2 linked regions of the Daphnia pulex genome follow. The protein of the gene in region 1 interacts with the protein of each later gene in a pairwise test. Links are inferred from orthologs where the notes say so. Each region holds a gene or a part of one and is shown on either strand. Other genes may lie near its edges.

Region 1 (5,217 bases):
AGAAGAGTTTCAACAAGATCCTTTCTTGGTCTCAATTTCAAAAGTGGTACACTAAGGCTGATGGAGCAATGCCCAGATCTCCTTCCTTCATACCTACACAAACCAGCACACCTACAAACAAATTCATTAGAATACACTTCTATGGTTGTTGAACTGATTCAAACTATACACAGTCATTCTCGGGCTCCATTTCACCACAACACTTTTTAGCTGGCTAGAAAAAAAGCGATCATCAAATTGAAGAAACAGACTATGAATATCGGGGGTGGGATCCAAATATTCCCATTCTTCGTCCACGATAGAGTTGGGATACATTCCATTTTTCTGTTTGCTTATCAAACTCATTTACTGTTCTTGATTTAAAACAAAATGTGCAGTGGCCAATGGAGTACTGAATTACTGATCAAAGTCACCGGAAGTCCGGAACTATTTACAAACTTTTGAATCGTTGAAGTTCTTGATTTCGTCTGCTAATGTTTCTGTGGCAACACAGGCAGCGGGCGCCATACATCAAGATTTTAAACGTTTACTGATATCATAATTATTCAAGGATTTAATCCTTTGGGCACCTCTTTGAAAAATAAAATTTATTTTTCACTTTACCAATTACTCAAAAAAAGTCAGAAATTTTTTTGGAAAATAAGGAGAATGGCGGGTGGCAACGTCGTATTTACACTTAAATTTAATAAATCCTAATTTTAGAGTTTAATAAGAAAATATATTGAAATAGGCCAAAGGGGAAGGTTGTTTGGCTTATAAGGTTGCTTGGTACACGCTCGTACTCCATTGAGCTGCATACTGGAACTTAATTGAGCCACTTTGCGTTGCCGAGTGAACGGTAACGGGCCACGATACTCAATCAGGGGTTAATCGTACGTCTGAATGACACTACTTCGGAGCGTGAGACTAACTAGCAGAGTCATCACTGAGGTTGAACGGGTTACAACCTTTGTGATAGACATCCTTTACAGGCTTACAGCAACCGGATGCTTAATAGTTCAGAAGGAATTATTTATTGTTTGTTGGTTTACTATTTGACTATATATTGATGTATAGCAGATATGCAATATTTTTTTTCAAAACTTGTATGTAAAACAGATTCCAAAACTTGTTCAGTTGTTCTGAAAATCACATAACGAAAAAAAAAAAACAAATCGACCGCTTTGTTTAGTGTCCAGAGCCGCCGCTTGGGTTTCATCGTCTGCTGCCGGTTTCTGTGGCAACTAGGCGCCATCCGAGTTTTCAACTTTTCAAGCTGATAACTTGCTTGACGTTTCAGGCATTTTTAAAACGTATATATTGTTACAAAATGGAAAGCAAAGATCGAAACGATGGTTCGAGTAACAAGAACAATGAGAATAAAACACCTTTAACAGTCGATCAAATCAATTCTGATCGAATCACACAGGTAACAAATCTGTTGCATCAAATCCTTCACTATCTAACACATTTTCTTCAGGTTGCATCAAAATACTGGGCACCACAAACATGTGGAAATCACATGGATTTCGACGCCAGCATAGTTGACCAAATTTATCACCAAGAAGTTCAAGGTGCAAAATTCATGATTCGCCGGATCATGATGCTTGAGTTTAGCCAGTATCTGGAAAATTACTTGTGGCCAAACTACAAACCCGATAATTCCTCTGCGTCACATGTGTTATCAATAGTAATCATGGTTAATGAAAAATTCAGAGAACGTGTATCAGCATGGCAGGTGTGTGTTAGTTCTGTTATTCAGATAATATGTTAATTTACATTATTTATTATGTTGTTTTTGTTTTAGATTTTCCAAAAACTTCCAGAAAATTTTCCGAGCCTTTTTAAACAACTGATGGAAATGTCCCTTGATGAAAAATGGGGACTTAGTTTTAAGGAACGAACCATGATCCTCATCTTTTTTAACCATTGTTTCAATAGCCTTGAAATCGATCTGATCCGTGATCAAGTTCAGAAATTGGTCTCATTGTCTATTTGGACTTGTTTACCAGAGGTCAGTAAGATTACAGTAAAAACATCTTTTTCAGACAATTCAAGAGATTACTAAAAAATATCTTGAATACATTTTAGGGAAGAAGAGAACAAGAACTCAATGCTTTTCCTAAACTCAGAAAGTTTTGGAAAGTTATTCAGAAAAAAGACTCCAAAGAGAATGAGGATTCCAAAGCTAAAGCTGATTTTGAGCGAAGATTCCTTCAGCGTTTGATGCACAAATTTCTCTCCCTTTTAGCTACTATTCCGTTGGAAGGTAAAGATTTTTTATTGTATACGATTTTGAGAATTGTAATTAAAGCGTTATTCCAAAATGATACGTATAGGAGACATCGACGTAGAAGCAGTTCACTATTGCGAACGTTTTTTGGAGTTACTGATTGACTTAGAGGCTTTACTGCCCACTCGCCGCTTCTTCAATGTCGTCATGGACGATTGTCATCTGGTCACGCGTTGCCACCTGTCAATGTTGAATCAACGAACTGAAGGGAAACTATTCTCGCAGGTCAGTGTTTTCACTTTCAGTGTATTTCATTTGCGATTTTTTTAAATGCGCCTCGAGTTATGTAAACGTACAAAAGAAAGAATAAGCATCGTCCACGCAGTGTTAAACAACAAGGCTAGATCGGAGTTCCGAGGGCCATCATTTCTTCGCCGTAGTAGTGTCCCCGATCTCTTGTTTTCGGTGGGAAGCAGCGGCGACAAAGCCAACATTGCGACATTTGCAGGCGTATTTTCAAAAGGTGCATGACGCGGCGTCCCTGTAAAATCAAAAATAATTTAGATTCGCCTCCAATTAACGTGCTTATCATCCATCCTTTTTACTTTGAGGGCAGCCCAAAAAATTAGAAAAGGCAGTACAATGTCAGCCAAGATCCGTAGGCCGACTAAAATAGGATATTGTAACCAAGAAAATGTTTGGATTATCCAAACGGTTTCGATGATGAGGAAGAGACGGGTGTAAGCCTGAAAGCTAATGCAAATGAATGTTTTAATTACATTTCTTTAACTCAAAGGAGATCAGGTTTTTCTTACTATCCCTTGGTGCGGTGAAATGTCCGTCCGTAGGCCGTCTGATTACTAAGAGTAGAGCGAGTGGCAAAGTACACGTAAATATTGACCAGGAAAAGGAAGACGCAAGTCGAGCAGAATAGGGCTAATCCCAACCACCCTGTAGAAAATGATTTCCTTTTAGCAATGTGAAATTCGCTTAAAACTTGTTTCGCGATTCTACTTACCGATTCTGTACCAAGTGAAGAAACTGTGAGGTGAAGTGGTCCCGTGTGACTGGTCTTCAATGAAAAAGTGCACCATAACCGCTAGACCTGTCACACAAACCGCTGAACCCCACGAATACAGTGAATAAAAAACGTAGCGCTTTCCTTCCGGTCGCATGGCTTCTTTCCGTGGGTATCTATCAAATTGTAGAAAGAAAAAGTCGTTGGTTTTATTGAAGTATTAGTGATATCAATTTCATTTAGATTACCTGACGGCCGTCCATGCTCGGTGTCCGATGGCACTGAGCCAAAAATGAACGGCAACGTCTGAGCCATGAACCACCGACTCCAAGAAAAGTAAATTGAGGTACGGACTAGGTCGAGAATCGGCAGATGAGAGAATTAGGTTGCTAATCATGGTGACGATCATTGAAACGACGAGGCTAATGAGCATGCAACCACTCAGATCCCGTAATTCTTTGAGAACGAGATGAATTCCGGTTAGCGTGAGCAATACCAACAGGCCGACACCTAAGCCGATGGGGTAGAAAATTCGCACAAACATTTCGAAAAAGTCGCTCTCATCCAACGGGCCCGGCTCGCAGATGAGAGCGTAGTAGACCGGGCCGTCTGACGGAGGCGACAACGGTGCTGAACTTGTGTTTTCGGCACCGTTTGGTAATCCGTGGCCGAAATGTGACACGGATCCCAAAAGTCTAACACCGTCCACGCAATACTGATCAAGTGGATATTCGTGGTGACGAGGAACCTCAGCCAACTTGTCCACCACGTGACGCAGGACACCGAAAGGTCTTAGTTGTAAATCTTCCTGAAATCCGGCGTATGTAAAGATGGGCCAGGCTCGAAACTAATTTTTGCGTATATGGAAAACACATGTCATTTTCATGAAAATGTTGAATGAATTAGTAGTTTTGATTTTTCTTTACCGGTCCACATTGTGGTTTACCCACGATGGATGAGATGCAAGGCCCGTTTGGAATGCAGAATTTGGTGATGTTAAAATCCGAATCGGCACTGTCTTTATCCAGGCTTCCCTCAAAAGACAGAAGGTTGTTATGGTTGTCTAGGAAATCGGGTGCCCACCGGAAAGATGTATCGTTTTGCAATTGACATTCAAACTTGGAGCCAGTGCTGTGGGTGGTGGCCGTGGTTCTGCTGGTCACTTCCACCATCATGTGAGCTTCTGGACAGCATTTCTGAACGTGAATCCAGTGACCCACGACTGGCCCTTCACTTTCCAGATTCTCTAAGCCTGTCGATGACGCCAACTGATGGATCAGCAAAAGCAACAGTGTAGCTGTCCACTCGGACATGATGACGCAAGGACGACGCGACCGCTCCTCTTTTTGAAGCCCGTTACAATCTCGAAGATCTTCACAGCCTCATGACATCCTCCTGTCTGGCTACGTTGAAATGTAACACTTTTGAGCACCGAGTTGTAATTTGTGGCCGTTTCCAGATGTGAATTGAACAAAGTGTCGAAGCTTTCTGTCTTTTTCTCTCCCTCGCTGTCCAAGGGAACAACAGACGACGGAACGACAGGGGAGATGAAAATGAGCGTAGCCTATAGTCGGTACACAGCAGAATCGAAAATGTGGTCGACCAAGCAACCTTGTAGCCTGCGGCGGAAATAAGAATAGGTAGAAAGTGACGGGCTTTTGTTCTCTTTGGGAAAAACACGCCCAGGTGTGCCGTGTTCCAGCCGCTTCTCTTTTCGCTTATCGCTCCCAATCCCTTTTCAAGGCTTCGCTTAAATTCAAATGGAAGGGCACGTTCCCCCTCTTTTTTTTCTCACTTTTTTCTGTGTTGTTCTTCTATTCTCCAATTTCGAAATAGGGGAAGGATGGCTTATAATCCGGACCGATATATATTCCGGTTAGTTTCCTGAAGGGTGGAAATTTTTTTGTTTTATCCTGCTAGCATTGTCTAGATTTTATACGCAGGTTCATGCAATTTTCAAACTTTGATCAATAATTTAAAAGTTTCT
Region 2 (6,488 bases), on another chromosome or scaffold:
GTACTCGTCTGTAGGTTTTTGAGCTAACAAGTCTTACACTTCTGTTCCCTGATTGCACTTAACAAATAAAAATGAACCGAAAAAGTGATTCGTGTTTAACAGATCGTAAATGTTTTGAAGCTCGTGGCTCCGAAAGCAGAAAGGTAAAAGAAATGGACATTTGAATTTCGCAAATAAAATAGTTGTTAACTTTGGCCTTTAAAAAAAATTGAATTATAGGTGCGCAAACCTTTAATGGAAAAGAAGCGTCGAGCACGCATCAACCAGAGCCTAAATGATTTGAAAGATCTTCTCATGGAAACGGACAGCGTAAAAAAAGAGGTGTGTATTATACATATTGCATTCGTTTACATTATATTTTAACTGTTTAAAGTGTTATTAAAAACGAAGCTGGAACTAAATAAAAATTTTAAATTTCAGGGTTCCCGACCGGCTAAACTGGAGAAGGCCGACGTTTTAGAACTAACTGTAAACTACGTCCAGAAGCTTCACAAGGAACGACGTAATAACATGCGGGACAATTCAAATGATGGAAGCACTAGCTGCCCGATCCCTAATGGTTTTTCGCCAAGATCTAATCAATCGTCAAGGTTTAAAGATGGGTTCATCGAGTGCGCTCGCATCGTTCGAGAAGTTTTACACAATCAACCCCAGCAAGCAATGGAAGGAGACCTGCAAAAAAGAGTCGGCCAATATCTTGACCGATGCTTAACTAATTTAGTTCCCGAACTACTGACCAACCGAAAATCGCTTTCACCTTCGCTCGGAAGCGACTCATGCACATCGTTTGAAGAAAAATACATGGACCCTTCCGAATTTGTCATGGACAGCTCTTCACCTGCAAATCGTATTTGTTCATCACCTTCAACATCGGAGGAAAGTCGGGACTCGTGCTCTCGACGGTCATTTTCAAACGAAATCAACAGCTTTGCTGATTTAACATCAACGCCGAATTCTTCACCGAGCAATGCGCTCAACGTGATACCGTCTCGCTGGACTTGCGGTTTCAAGTCCGTTCCATTCTTCGGATCTCCTGATTTGTCAGCTGAGAACTTGAATCAAGGCAACAAGTGGGAAAATCATCAGGTGGTCCCTTCTTCAATGTCATGCGAGAGAAAATGGAAGACGAGCGATGCCAATATCGTGGAACTTTTTGCATGTGGTGTCCCATCAACCAGCGCTTTTCCATCAGATTGTTCTTCCAGCTCTTTGACTTCCAACCAACACTACCAACATTCACCCGAAGTTATTTATCGACATCAAATCAGCCTGTATGACGATCATATTTCATCACCTTCCTTGAAATCGGATGCGGATCGTATGAAAGTATGGAGACCTTGGTAAAACTCGGTAAAACTACGTGATAATGGGTGTCTTGATTTGATTTTGATTTAATTGTATGTTTACTTTCTTACCGAACAAAAATAACTCATAATCGTGATTCATGAATTGTACATAAATGAGGATAATAAATAATATGCCATGTTATTCAAACGAAGTTTCATGTTATTCCGTCCTAGTTTGAAATGCAGTGATATACTGTCAACAGTGATTTTTCAATTTTCCGGGACATTTTGATATATAATGATAGCTGCAGTTCCGCATGAATGGTGTTTACGCTGGATGTGCTGGGAAAGACGGCACAGTCAAACCTAATTTACGCTAACTTAGCCAACAGCTAATATTAATATTGATACAATTCAATTATATAGTCAGCGCTGGCATTACACTGGCTTATACATTCGCATATAAGGGAGAACAAGTTATGATGCTGTATATAGAAATTTCAGCTGAATTTATTAAATGCGCACTGAGCTTTCTCGGGTTAACGATGTCGATCTTTACTCTGTACAATAAATCTAATCTACAGAATTCATTCTGTAGTGAGCCAAGGAAACGTAATCGTAATGTGTATAACATTCGTAGGTCACAATCAAGTTTTCTTACGTACTGAATAATTTTGACTTTTTCTTTAAATAACAAAAAAGGCCAGCGTGTTATCACTAGAAGTTTCTACATAATATATGACATAACTCTCCTGCCTACGGTAATCATCCTTTGGCATTCACTTTTAATGCTTAATTTTTTTAAACATATTTTTAAAATAACTCTGGTGCTCAACTCTCGAAAAACCATAATTCTCCTAAACACTACCATTGCTTTAAATGAAAGAATGGAAATGGAAGTAGCCTAGTAAGGAACGAGGAAATAGATGCTCGCTATTCAGGTTTCTCTCGCGCAGTATATAGTACGTACGTCTTTTTTACTCTCACGGCAAAAGCACAGCAACCTGATGCGCTCGATGGAGCTGTGCGGCTAAAAGGCCTGTTCACAAAAGGCGCTTTCTATATAAACGATCTCCTGAACATTTGGAAACCCGATCTTCGTAGATAACAACAATCTCTTCCCCTCTCTGAGGTCATGACCGTTGGGTCTAGTAAAGGTCCCTCACGTCGAGAAATATCCCTGTGTACACTTCATACAGCGATATCTACGTACGACTACTATATCTACCACGAGTGATAAGGAAATCAAACGAGATATCCGATTTCAACATGCCGGAAGTGGCAAACGATTACTTAAGCTGTCCCTTTTCCATTCTTTAAAGTAAAGGACTGAGGATGAGCTGGAGCGTTGAGCTCGTTCATTGAAAATGTGAATGAAAAAATGGCAAGTTAAGTTCTAGTGAAATGGGACGTTAGAGAAAGAAGGAGAAGGTTCTCTTTACATTTCTATTATTCTCATCGAAATTCTGAACCGGACATGAAAACCGTTGATAACGTCCGTAAGTAAGCGACTAAATAATGAACAAAGCATGACACACGGGTCACGACATTTTGTCGGGGAGTTGGTAACTATTTTCTGTTTACAGGACTTCATGGATTTAAGAAAAATTTACATGCGCGTTAACGTTTGAGCCATTCAAATTCAAGTAAAAAATGCAATCCAATTTTTCCGAGCCAAATTCAGAAATCTCAATCTATAAGAATTTTAAATCTTATGGAATTCTGTACATTAGTGTGTTATTTAATCGAAACATCAGTAGTTAAACGATCTCGTACAAAAGTGAAAGGCTTGGTGAAGGTATAACTAGATACAGACTGGACACTTGCATGTTAATAAAGCTATTGGGATTAATTAATTTACTGAATGGCACATGGGCATTCCAGATACCGCTCAAATAATATGTTTTGAAAACTTGATGCTTGAAAACTGAAAATGGCTGAATAATAATATTTTTTATATGGATCAAAAATTAATTAATATGTTTATATTTTGGGTAAAAAGACTTTATTCCTCGTGATTTATTCCTAAATTTATTCACAGGGCGAAAAAAGTGGGATTTTTGGGACAGAGGTAATAAAGGTTGAGTGGACTAATAAAGAGTGAGTCGGGGAAAGTGGAACAGGGAAATCTAGAGCAAACACGTATATCAAATAGTTCTTTTTTAATTTGAAAATTTTTTCAAGCGATTGGCTGGCGTAACATTCTTGATCATATTTTCGTTCTCAGACAAGTGTTCTTGTCAAACCACGAAGCATGAACACTACCCAATGGCTGTCTTAATTTTTGGATTGTCAGTCTGTTTGAGTTTTTTTCTTTTTGCATATGTGGTAGGATAGAGACACGGAGACAATGATTAGGCATGCATTGAAGAATAAAACAATAGCCGTGTTTGAGCTCAAGTGTGAAATTGATAAATTATTTTCAAATTTATTTGCAACTTTTGGTTACCAGATGACAGGTCGATAGGCTCAAGTTCCTTCACCAGGTGGTGCTTCTGCAGTTGTCGACAACTGTTGTTTTGATTAAAACTTGAAAGAGCAAAATTGGACGAAATTAATAACTGTACAACCGAATTTTTTAAACTTTGTTGTTGCTCTACATAAGATTGAAATGGCATCGAGTTCATCAAAATCGTCCTTAAAGCTAATGGGATCTGCTAAGAAAATAGATTCACCGCTAGCTAAGTACAACAGTGCTGGACAGCTGACTTGCATCGTGTGTAATAGCGTTGTCAAAAATGAATTGGTCTGGACTGCCCACGTCAATGGAAGACTACACCGAGAAAAAGTGCTTTCTTTGAAAAATCCCAAAGTTGAAGCACAGTTCACCAAGCCTCAAATTATTCCTGCTGTCAAACGGAAAGCAGACTCAATAACTACTAATGGTTCCTCAGCTTCACCATCCAAGAAAGGAGTTCCGAAAGATTTTTTTGATAACCAACCTCCTAATTTCATTGCCCCAATGCCAATAAAAAGCATCCTAAAAAACTCAACAAAACCCAAGTATGATTCTAATGTAGTCAAAATTGAAACACCTACCTTAATTGAGGACATGGAAACTGACGATGCACCTGAAGTGTCCTCTCAAACACCAAGTGGAACTGAAATATCCACTTCACAGCCAGGAGATGCTATTTCTTCTAATGCCATACCTGAAGGATTTTTTGATGACCCTAAGATGGATGCCAAGGTTCAATGCCAAAGACTTTAATGTTATTTCTACTTATTATTTAACCTAATATCTTGATATTTGTTTATAGGTTCGCCAAATTGAATTCAAAGACCCTGTAGAAGAAGAGTGGAACAAGTTCCAGAAAGAAATTGGTGATGAAGTTACAGCATCAGTTGCCATCCAAGAGGAAGATCAGGAAGAATCTACAGCTGAAAGACAGCTGGAAGAAATTGAAGAGCAAATGATAAAGTGGGGGAGAGTTCTTGAGCTGGAACAAAAGAAAGAATTGTATGGCCAGCGTGTTCGAGCTATTCGTGAATCGATGGTAGAGGAGAAAGAGACAAGTTCAAGCGACGAGGACGACGCTGAAATGGACAAATTCTTTGATTGGCGATCGAAGGCTACATGATCATTTGTCCACAAACGTCCTGCAAAATGTTGATGTTAAATATACCGGAAAGCACGATTTGATAGTTAGATTTATAATGTATTTCAGTTAACTGAACAACATCTATTGCCACATCAATTATATTACGCATATCCCGCACCACTTCGGCATTGCATCATTCCGAGAAAAAAGGAAAACATAAAACTTTTGCTAACTGAAGTCCAATAAGGACGATGAGCACACATGACGAAATAATAAAAAAAAATTAATTGTGGAATGGGAGCTGATGAAAATTCTAGTGTAGGGAGCGCTTTGACACAGTTTCCAATCATGTCTTCGAAAATCACTGCACCTCGTTCATTCCAGCAGCCATGTGTCTGAAGCGATATGCGACTGAGAATCCCACAAGCTGCAGAAAATAAAACAAAAATTATTTAAATTTAACAATTTAGATAAAACTTAAGAAAACAAAGGCAATAATAATAACGCTAAATTTAGGCCTAGCTACGGTAAAGCACCTACAAAAAATGAATTCAAAGAACCGTGTCCAATAAGCTCAAAGCAAAACAACACATAAGCCATAAAATGATGAACATGTTAGTTATGGAGGAGACCAGTACCTTGAGTCCTAGGAATGAGTGTTATGCAAAGATGGTAAGTGTGAAGGAGAAAAAAGGGTACGGTAAAATGGAATAGAACAAACGGGGGATCAACGGCAGATGGATTCGTAGGAAGAATTTAGAGAAAAGCACCGGGGTGGCCCTTTGGGTCTTTCTGATTGCGATAGCGTACGGTCAACCACACTCCAACGAACTGTAGAACGCAACATGGAGACAATGACACACAAGAAAAAAGATTTAATTCCACCTATCGAAGGCCGAAAATTATTTTACGTTAAGACTTCGGCAACAGTTTAATGTGCAGCCCCCAAATAAAATAGGGTGTACAAAGTATTGCGACAGTTCATGCAATTTTAATTAAGCTATGATGCCTCTAATTCGATATCAATTAAGTAATGATAACTACGATTTCAGAAGGAATTTCATTGGGAGCCTTCGTTTGTGAAAAATAAGCATGTTTCTCCTTACAATATTACGTTTGAATACTTAATGCTATTTACATATCACATAAGCAATGTTGAGATCTGAGTTAAGTGTTAGTAAACATGTAGGAGTTACTTATATATAAACTAAAAGAAAAGGCAATATTATAATTCATAATTCAAAATACCTCAGTGAAGCTGAAGAATAGACCAATTCCACCTGACACACGGAAACCATAATTGATCATATTTTCAAGTGCACTCTCACACGTTAGACAAGTAGGGCATTTATCCGCGCATTCGGTACCCGAATCAGTGGTATTGTGGAATCCACAACAATTAAAAGCGTTCTGAACATCTGTTTTAGTGGCATTGTCAGCACTATTCCAACCTGCTACAGCTAAAGTTTTCTGTGGGGAGAGAAAAAAGGCTAACATATGTTGTTAATGAAAACAAGATATTTACAATTTACCTGAGTATCTGAATTCACAGCAAGGCAAGCACAGGCTATGGCAAATTGGATGACAAACAAGATGAAAAGGACCACCATATACTGAAAAGTATAAATAATATAAAATTATACATACCCAAAAGACACCA

Evidence for each region.
Region 2: the proteins of RNA helicase aquarius-like (region 1) and zinc finger protein 830-like interact in a two-hybrid assay, tested with the Homo sapiens proteins (2 studies listed by BioGRID and IntAct, with this or other methods). The link is inferred for Daphnia pulex from reciprocal best matches to the Homo sapiens genes AQR and ZNF830.

The regions. Positions count from the first base shown.
Region 1 is NC_060021.1:10,929,913-10,935,129, forward strand, and holds the start of RNA helicase aquarius-like, read left to right. Parts: upstream 1-1,201; 5' UTR 1,202-1,309; coding exon 1,310-1,408; intron 1,409-1,459; coding exon 1,460-1,717; intron 1,718-1,786; coding exon 1,787-1,993; intron 1,994-2,070; coding exon 2,071-2,248; intron 2,249-2,318; coding exon 2,319-2,497; intron 2,498-2,498; exon of another isoform or gene 2,499-2,612; coding exon of another isoform or gene 2,613-2,753; intron 2,754-2,817; coding exon of another isoform or gene 2,818-2,965; intron 2,966-3,027; coding exon of another isoform or gene 3,028-3,163; intron 3,164-3,230; coding exon of another isoform or gene 3,231-3,406; intron 3,407-3,478; coding exon of another isoform or gene 3,479-4,077; intron 4,078-4,156; coding exon of another isoform or gene 4,157-4,543; exon of another isoform or gene 4,544-4,857; intron 4,858-5,217. Other genes in the region: DNA-dependent metalloprotease dvc-1-like, read right to left, coding at 1-111, 170-345; probable G-protein coupled receptor Mth-like 5, read right to left, coding at 2,613-2,753, 2,818-2,965, 3,028-3,163, 3,231-3,406, 3,479-4,077, 4,157-4,543.
Region 2 is NC_060019.1:8,117,126-8,123,613, reverse strand, and holds zinc finger protein 830-like, read left to right. Parts: upstream 1-2,602; 5' UTR 2,603-2,785; intron 2,786-3,738; 5' UTR 3,739-3,897; coding exon 3,898-4,476; intron 4,477-4,546; coding exon 4,547-4,867; 3' UTR 4,868-5,099; downstream 5,100-6,488. Other genes in the region: protein hairy-like, read left to right, coding at 72-143, 220-321, 421-1,344; tetraspanin-31-like, read right to left, coding at 5,190-5,255, 6,077-6,298, 6,361-6,441.